2 separate regions of the Mus musculus genome follow, and region 2 is reported to be linked to region 1. The links are microRNA targets in miRTarBase. Many come from high-throughput screens and were not tested one by one. Region 1 holds a microRNA gene; the other region holds the end of a gene's coding sequence.

Region 1 (4,000 bases):
TTCTCTGATTATAATGGGAATTCATACCTGGTACGATACAAGTACTCATAAACTCACAGCTGGGGAGGCCAGAGTGCTAAACTGTCATAACATGGAACCATCTCCCAAGTATATGGAAACAATTACCACTTGTGGTAGATAACATGTTGAGGTTTGGTCTTTTGTTATCTATTGTAATGGTAAGTGCGGCCCCCCAGGACCTGGGTGTCCCAGAGATAACTCAGTCAGCATACAGACCTTGCTCATAAGTTATTTCTGCTTGGTAAATAAAGATGCCAATAGCCAATAGCTGGGCAGAAGAGACATAGATGGGGTTTAGGTTTCCCAGGCGTGCGGTTGGAGGAGAAGGATGACGGGAGGGAGGAGAAGGAAGAGGAGAGGCACAGGAGGATAAAGGAGAAACCACCATGGGTTAGGAGTCAAGAGAACATGGCTCTGAAGGCTGGCCAACTGGAGTTAAGAACAGCCCAGATGAAACATAGCAAGTAGTAATAACTCAGAGTTACTGATAGTAAAGTAGATTCTAACAACATAGAGGGTAGATATCTGCCCAGCTCTTGTACTGTTTAAGGCTAACTGTAAATATAAAGGTTATGTATGATTTTTATCTGGGAACTAAATGATCTAAGGCAGGGTAGAAACCCTGGATCCGGATTAAATAGTTTCTACAACAATTACAAATGTATAGCTATATAGGATCCTGAGAATAAGTGACGGTTGAGTGCTTGGTCCTAAACAAGGCATTACGCCATTTCTTCCAAGGCTCAGGAACAATGCAGAAGAGGATATAGCATAAAGAATGTAAGTGTGGAAAATAGAGAGAAGGCCTTCCAAAAGCCCCCAAATGGGCAGTATCCAGCCAACTTAGGCATACCCTTCAAACAACTGGAAATGGTTTCGCTCAGCCTGCACAAAAATGAGCTCATTAACAGCCAGACGTGGATGAGTGAGGGGGTAGGTCTAATCTTCTCTGCTAAACTGTTTCCTACTGAAAGATTCTGGGAAACACAGTCATTACCTTCAGCAGTATACCTAACCAGTGACCGCACCACACTCACCGCAGTGGATAGTCCCAATCCAATAGTCACACTGATGGTCCTGGTTAAACTAAACTGGTCACAAACTAAGACCGAACACCATGACTGTGGGATCAGGACAGATATGCTGAGGTGCTGAGAGGAGTAGGGGTAACCAGAATGCATCTTACACATGTATGAAACTGCCAAGGAATGAGTGAAAGAAAGAAAAGGAAGGAAGGTAGGTAATTTAGAAGCCACAGGATTACACATATTACCATGGTAAAGATCCTTAAGTGCAATGCTTTCTCCAGAAGCCCATGCCTATATCTTGGTATTGTGTACTATCCGTTTCCCATGAGTCTGCCAAATAATTAACAAAATAATTAACTTTGTTTCACTCTGGGGCTTCTTGAAACTCTTTTCTGCAGCACAGGCAAGGATCTGGCTCTACCTTAGAGGAGGTCTCTAAGAGTCTCTTAGGCTGCTGGTAGCTGTGTTAGGCCGTCTCCCTGCTGCTGCTGAAATTTCCTAGGTTGGTTTTTACTAGTAAATGATCTATCAAACTTAATTAAATGAAAACTACTGAGAAGAGATATAGCTGAATTATCTACAAAGAGATGACTTGGCTATCTTGCATTAAGACTGTGGTTTGATTCTTACCATTTCAAATAAATAAAACAAAAATTAACTTTTGGCTTAGAAAATAAAAGATAAAACAAGCACCTTTGAAATGGTATTTCATGCTCTCCTGAAATTAGAGAATACATTACAATCCTCAAAGGGCTTTAGGACTATGTACATGAAGACAATTGTTTTAACTGAACCTTTCTGTAAATAATCTCTAGTCAATGGCCTGCTTCCACCTGTTTCCAATATTTAGTCAAGTCACAGGTACCCTTTGACATATCCATGTTTCCTGTTTTATAAACTTCGTTCTGAACTTTGGAATTCTCTCAGTCCTTTTGAGTAATCATCTTATGTTCACGGTGACTCAGAAAGAAGTTTTAAAATGGAATACAGACAATAAAAATTAGCTTAGATAGCTCTATTACCTTCCCAGCTAAAAACAAGATGGATTCTAAAAAAATTTTCTCTAACTCAAACTACTGTAAAATTGTTTATTTAAAAACCCATTGTAAACCACTTAATTCAATTTTTACATCTTAATCGACTTAGAGTATTTTGTTTCCTACTGTTGATATTTTTACCTGTCAAACTCTCACGTACTGCCATCTTATTAAAAATGGGAGCAATTTCAAATTACTGAAGAGATGTAAAACTGTAAAATCCCTGTGTACTTTAAACCTCATAAAGTACAGAAGATCTGATGATAAAAGAACTGGCAGAAAACCAGGGTGAGAAAATCAAAATTAAATAAAAAGCAAAAAATTAAATAAAAAGCAGCGCTTTACAGATGGCAAGCAAGGTCCTAGAACTTAGAAAGGTAAACATGAAGAAAAATCCACTCCTATACTTTACTGAACTCTCAAAATTTGAATAGAAATTCTAGGGGATTAAAAGACTTCCGAATATTTTTAAACTACAAAATGTAAAAGCAACATACATAGATGGTAAACAAGAAGCATTTAAACATAACAAAAAGGTACACTCCTCTTATAAGTTGTTGTAGATGTCAGACAGAGCTACGGTCATAGGATAAGTCAATCATGTGCAGCATGCGGTCCATATCCTTATCAGACAGGGTGGTGGCTTACACACAACATCCCATCTGAGTATGGATTAGGAAGGACAAAGTCAGGTGATTAAAGAACTTGCAAAAACAAACAAACAAACAAACAAACAAACCAGAATCCAAGGAAGGACCAAATAACAACTCTCTTAAGTCAAAATCTGCTAGCTTTAATAAAATCACCTTGCCTGCCCCACCTCACACTAACCCACTGGCCTAGCCATTGTTAGTTAGTTATATAATTCACATTGTGGAAGCAGGCCTGGGAAGATGGAGGTGGATAAAAAGGAAAGAGAAAGCGGCTGTAGAGAGAGTCCTGTGGAAGACTACAGTGCAGGTATATGTGTATCAACAGCTGTTCTCAATCTTCCTAAAGCTGAGACCAACTAACACAGTTCCTCCTGCTGTGGTGACCACCAACCATAAAATTATTTTGTTGCTACTTTATTCATGAATTTTGCTATCGTTAAAAATTGTAATATAAACATCTTGTGTTTTCCAATGAAGGAGCAAAGAAACTCTCTGGTTCTTTTTCTGACTCTAGACAAAGAACCAGCCACACTCACCATCTGTCCAACCAAAGACCACCATGAGAGTAACTTTAAGCAGTATTTTGGAGTCTTACTTTCACAGGTTTATTCTTTTTGATAAGCCATTTACTCTCAGAGAAGTCTTGTGTCAGGTTCACCCCAGGAGACCAGAAAGTCGGTCTTATCCCTGTGCCAGTTAGTCAGTTTTGGACTCAAGTCCTCCACAAACACAAAGCTAAAATGCTGATAAGTGATCTATATTTGTTTTGTAAAGATCTAGTTCTGTACAGTTTCTTTTTTTGTTTTTGTTTTTTGTTCTTTTTGCTTTTGTGTTTTGTTTTGTTTTATTTTGAGACAAGGTCTTACTATGCAATCCTGACTGGCCTGGAACTTACTACGTAGGACCAGCAAGTCTTGAACTTGCATAGATTTCCTGTCTCCACCTCTGGAATGCTGGGATTAGAGATGTGCAGAACCAGATCTGTAAGACAGCAGTTCTTAACCTTCATAGGCCATGGTCTCCTATGGGAGTATGGCAACACTGACTGTCTACTGTCTACTATGGAAAAAACAAATCACATACACATAATTCTAAATGTTATGGGGGCTTGAAATTCTTACAAAGATCTCTCAAGCTTCGGTACCTGGTGTGAACATTCTGCTGTTATCCTGGTTTTAAAATGGGATGTGTGGATATTCAGTTGCTCAAAACTGAAGAATCCCAACCCCCAAAAAGGATTAGTAAAAGATTCTCTCAAATA
Region 2 (4,215 bases), not on the chromosome of region 1:
CTGAGTTCAAGGCCAGCCTGGTCTACAAAGTGAGCTCCAGGACAGCCAGGGCTACACAGAGAAACCCTGTCTCGGAAAACCAAAAAAAAAAAAAAATGAAGACACCTCTGCCTCCTGAGTGTGGGACCTATAGGACTGGGCTATCATGCTTGACCTATTCTTTAAGGGGGAACCATACACAGAGCGGAACTGACATGCTCAGCTCTTTTCCGTGGTGCCCTTTCCTTTTCTTTCTTAAAATGTTACCTCTCTCTCTCCTGCTGGCAGCTCTCTAAGGGTCTTGTCTTTACATCACTTGTACAAGACCTAGTATATGATGTGGGGAAACTAATTAATGTTGCAGACTAGAATATCTGGGTAGCTCTTCTGAGCTCTGAGCAAAATGGAGAACTCCCTTTACCAGCAGCCTGTGGAGCCCAACACCCCTACCCCCTCTACTTGGGAAAGGCAACTTCCTCTTTCTGGATAAGAACCCGCCCAAAAGTACCTGGCATTCATGGACTACTTCTCCATACAAATGAGGCATTCACAGTACTTTAAACTCTAGCCAATGATTTTACAATCACCCTGGAAACTCCTTCCCACTCTCCATGGTTCATATATATCCCTTGTCCTTCCTGAATAAAGTCCACAAGCCCACCCCAATAAAGGTGTGTGCACCAGCTGTTTCACCGAAGATTGGCTAAGATTCATTCAGTACTGTCTAAAGAGCTATAAACTAAAATCCCTGGGGAAGCTGCCTCCTCCCTCCACTACACTTCATCCTTTCAGCCTGGTATGCAGCAGTACCTGGACATCCTGAGAGGGAGAAACGGAGGACACATACTACAATATGGAGGTGCTTAATGATTGTTTCCTAAGTGAATTCAGTGTACTAACTGCATCTTGGCCACTTTATGAAAATGAAGATGTGATCTGCCTTATTGGGTTTCTATTTCCGTGTCGAGAGAAACCATGACCACCTCAGCAACTCTTAAAACAGACATGGTGCTGGAGTAGCTGAGAATTCTACATCTTTGTAGCAGGGAAAGAACTGAGACACTAGACCTGGCTTGAGCATATGAGACCTCAAAGCCTGGCCTTCTCCAACAAAACCATGACTACTCTAGCAAGGCCACACCTCCATTCCAGATGAGCCTTGGTCCAGTTTCAAACTACCACAAGATTAAAACAGGATAGATTTAAGAGTGTTAAAGATTAATTTGAGGGGCTGGAGAGATGGCTTAGTGGTTAAGAGCACAGACTGCTCTTCCAGAGGTCCTGAGTTCCAATTCCCAGCAACCACATGGTGGCTCACAACCATCTGTAATGGATCTGCTGTGTCTGAAGACAGCTACAGTGTACTCATATATATAAAATAAATAGGCCTTAAAAAAGATTAATATCAAAAATCCTATTTTAAAATTAAGCTGTAACTTCTTTAGGAGGTAGGACTATAGGTTAGTCTAGAGTACATGATGTGACTGTCTTTGAAAACTGTTAAGTTGTGATGGCAAGATGGTTTGGTGGGTTAAAGGCTCTTGCTATGAAAACCTGACGTCATGCCTTCCACCCCTGGCGCCCATGTAAAGGTTGAACGAGAGAACTGACTGCACACAGCAGTTGTCTCTGGCCTCGCTATACAGGCCACACACACCATGCACGAGCACACACACATATAACAAACCTCAAACACTCTGAGGAGAGCTCACCACAAACCTTGGTTTGTCATGGAGGAAGGGAGCATGGCCATCCTTTGTCATCTCGTGTGCCATCTGAGATAGTTGCTGTGCTCAGCCTGTGCTGAGATAGGTGCTGTGCTTAGCCTTGGCAGCTGATTGCAGTGGGCATCAGTTAACCAGTAACTGGCCAGAGAGCAGAGGACGTGATGGTGAAGGGCTGACAGATCTGTATGGCCCTTACTTTCCACCCCTCCTACAACCAGAGAATGTCAAGTGAGAGGGGTGGAAAGTAAGAACACGAGGATAGGGAGCTGGAAGGGAGATAGAAAGCAGAAAGATGTCCTCCGGATCTGATGCAGCACTCATTAACTGCAGCTGTGCTTATCTGTATGCATCTGTATAAGACCTGTCAAGGTGTCATTGTGAGGAGGGTACCTTTGAGGCGGCGCCCCTCTGAAGGGGTGGTAAGCAGTGGTTGTGAAGGAGAGTGTGAGTGCTGCTGCTAGGTTGTCCTTGCTCAGGAAGTGAGTTCCCTCTCAGCTTGAGGCAACTCTGATGAACCTTGGATCACACACACAAGACATGAAAGGAGGAAGCTGTGCTTGGGGGAAGGGAAAAACTATGCATGCATATGGAATGGTCAAAGAATCTTTAAAAAAGAATTGGAATAACTCAGATGACTTTTTCCAAAAATAATTTATTTTTATGTGTGTGTGTGTGTGTGTGTGTGTGTCATGATGGAGGAGTTGGTTCTCTCCTTACACCATGTGTGTCCCCGGTATCAAACTTAAATTGCAAGTGACTTTACCCACTGACCCATCTCTCTGGATCCTCAAATGTCTTTTTAAACAAAACAACCAAAACAAACACCTGAAACAAACCAACAGCTGTTCTGAAGCAAAGCCAGATGCTGCGTACCCGGCAGCTGTGGTGGGCCCTGTTTGCCACCTTCACAAGGAGAAAAGGTGAAAGCGTGTGCATGGTGAAAGATACTTAAAAGTCTGGGTCAAAAGTCAGGCGTGGGTGGCACATGCCTTTAATCCCAGCACTCGGGAGGCAGAGGCAGGCAGATTTCTGAGTTCAAGGCCAGCCTGGTCTACAAAGTGAGTTCCAGGACAGCCAGGGCTACACAGAGAAACCCTGCCTCGAAAAAAAAAAAAGTCTGGGTCAGCACAAGAGCATATGGAAAGTAAAAATGACGAGGCTGGCTGGAATAATCTAGAAAAGAAAGAACTCTGGGGACAGCTGCATAAGGGTAACAGCTGTCCCCACGGCTCTCACTTTGTAAGAGGCCTGAGTAGCATGAATAGTTTGAACTCTGACTGATGGACTTAAGTTTAGCTGTTACTGTCTGTCTTGCTACTGGGTTCCCAATGACGACACAAAATAGACGAATGAATTGCTGACGTCTATTATAGACGTCATATATTGCATATATTTACATGAATATATGCAAGCTTTGAAATTTAAGCAAAGCACCTCAGTGTCCCACCTCTGCAAGGAGCATCAAAGTGGCATGACTCCTCTCAAGCGTGCCAGAGACACGGCTGAGAGGAGCTGAGATAAAACCAGCCGGGACAGTACTTTGGTCTGATTACCAGGTCAGTATCACAACTCAGCTGCGAACGGTGGCTTAGTTGTTTTAAAGAAGTACAGAAACGACGCAAAGTGAACTGTTACTAGGTTAGGAACTGTCTCTGACATTAGCAAAGGTCTACACTTAAGAATACAGTCTAATTACTACTCATGGGCTTCCTGCTGGCGCTCTGCAGTTAAATCTTCCTCATCCTCTTCCTGCAGCGCTGATTGAACACAGGGGAGGACCCCATGAGGCTGTCAGTGGAGTGGGAACCATAGCTGCTGTCTGAGTCGTCAGGGCTCTGAGGGAGTCCAGCCTCACTCATGCCTGACATTGGCTCCTCAAAGACATCACTGCCCAGCACCCCATGCGCAGACACATTGCCTTCTTCACTTTCTTGAGGTTCCATTTTCACGTGAGCCAGGTTCCAGAGAGGAGAAGCATTGACCTCTGCACCTAGAAATGAAGGGAAGGAGAGATTATGAGCCCACGGGGAGGCAGACACAGAACCTGCACATCTCGCCCTCACACAACTAGCGACCTCCGAGCTGCTTTCATTACAGCACCCCACATGGGATGAGGGTGTCACTGTTAGTCTGGGGTTCAAATGTTACCCCCAAATTACCACTTCCTTTCCACTTTCATGGTTTTTCCCTTCCCCTTATTCACCCCTACTTCTCCTATACCAAAAAAAAAAAAAAAAAAGAAAACTGGGTAGAAAGATTATGTTCAAAGGCAGACACAATTCCAGTTTACCCCCATAAGAAGCTCTATTTTCCTGTATTCATGCTTGCACATGGAAGCCACAGAAGGATGTGAGGTATGGAAGCATCTTCTTTCGTTGCTCTCTTATTGCCGTAACCTGGAAACTCAGTTTTCACTAAGCTGGCTGGCCAGTGTTGGGGTTGTGGGCACACAGCCATCCACACCTTTTACATGGGTGCTGGGATTTGAACTCATGTCCTCATGCTTGCA

Evidence for each region. The annotated mature microRNA mmu-miR-1933-5p reads AGUCAUGGUGUUCGGUCUUAGUUU and lies in region 1 at 1,121-1,144, opposite strand. An mRNA with a match to its seed (bases 2 to 7 or 8) in the 3' UTR can be bound and repressed. Matches are read on the target gene's strand: a 7mer-m8 pairs with bases 2 to 8, a 7mer-A1 pairs with bases 2 to 7 and ends in A, and an 8mer does both.
Region 2: miRTarBase lists Supt7l as a target of mmu-miR-1933-5p. Seed matches in the 3' UTR shown: 7mer-A1 at 2,392-2,398.

The regions. Positions count from the first base shown.
Region 1 is chr11:21,343,520-21,347,519 of GRCm38, forward strand. Mir1933 (microRNA 1933) reads right to left here and starts at 1,156; the gene lies at 1,069-1,156. The region is part of intron 3 of Ugp2 (UDP-glucose pyrophosphorylase 2); the gene reads right to left.
Region 2 is chr5:31,512,231-31,516,445 of GRCm38, forward strand. Supt7l (SPT7-like, STAGA complex gamma subunit) reads right to left here. Exons shown (of 5, transcript NM_028150.2): 5 at 2,339-3,696. The coding sequence ends at 3,434. Gpn1 (GPN-loop GTPase 1) reads left to right here. Exons shown (of 14, transcript NM_133756.5): 14 at 1-674. Among named protein-coding and RNA genes, the nearest start is that of Supt7l, 12 kb to the right of the region's middle.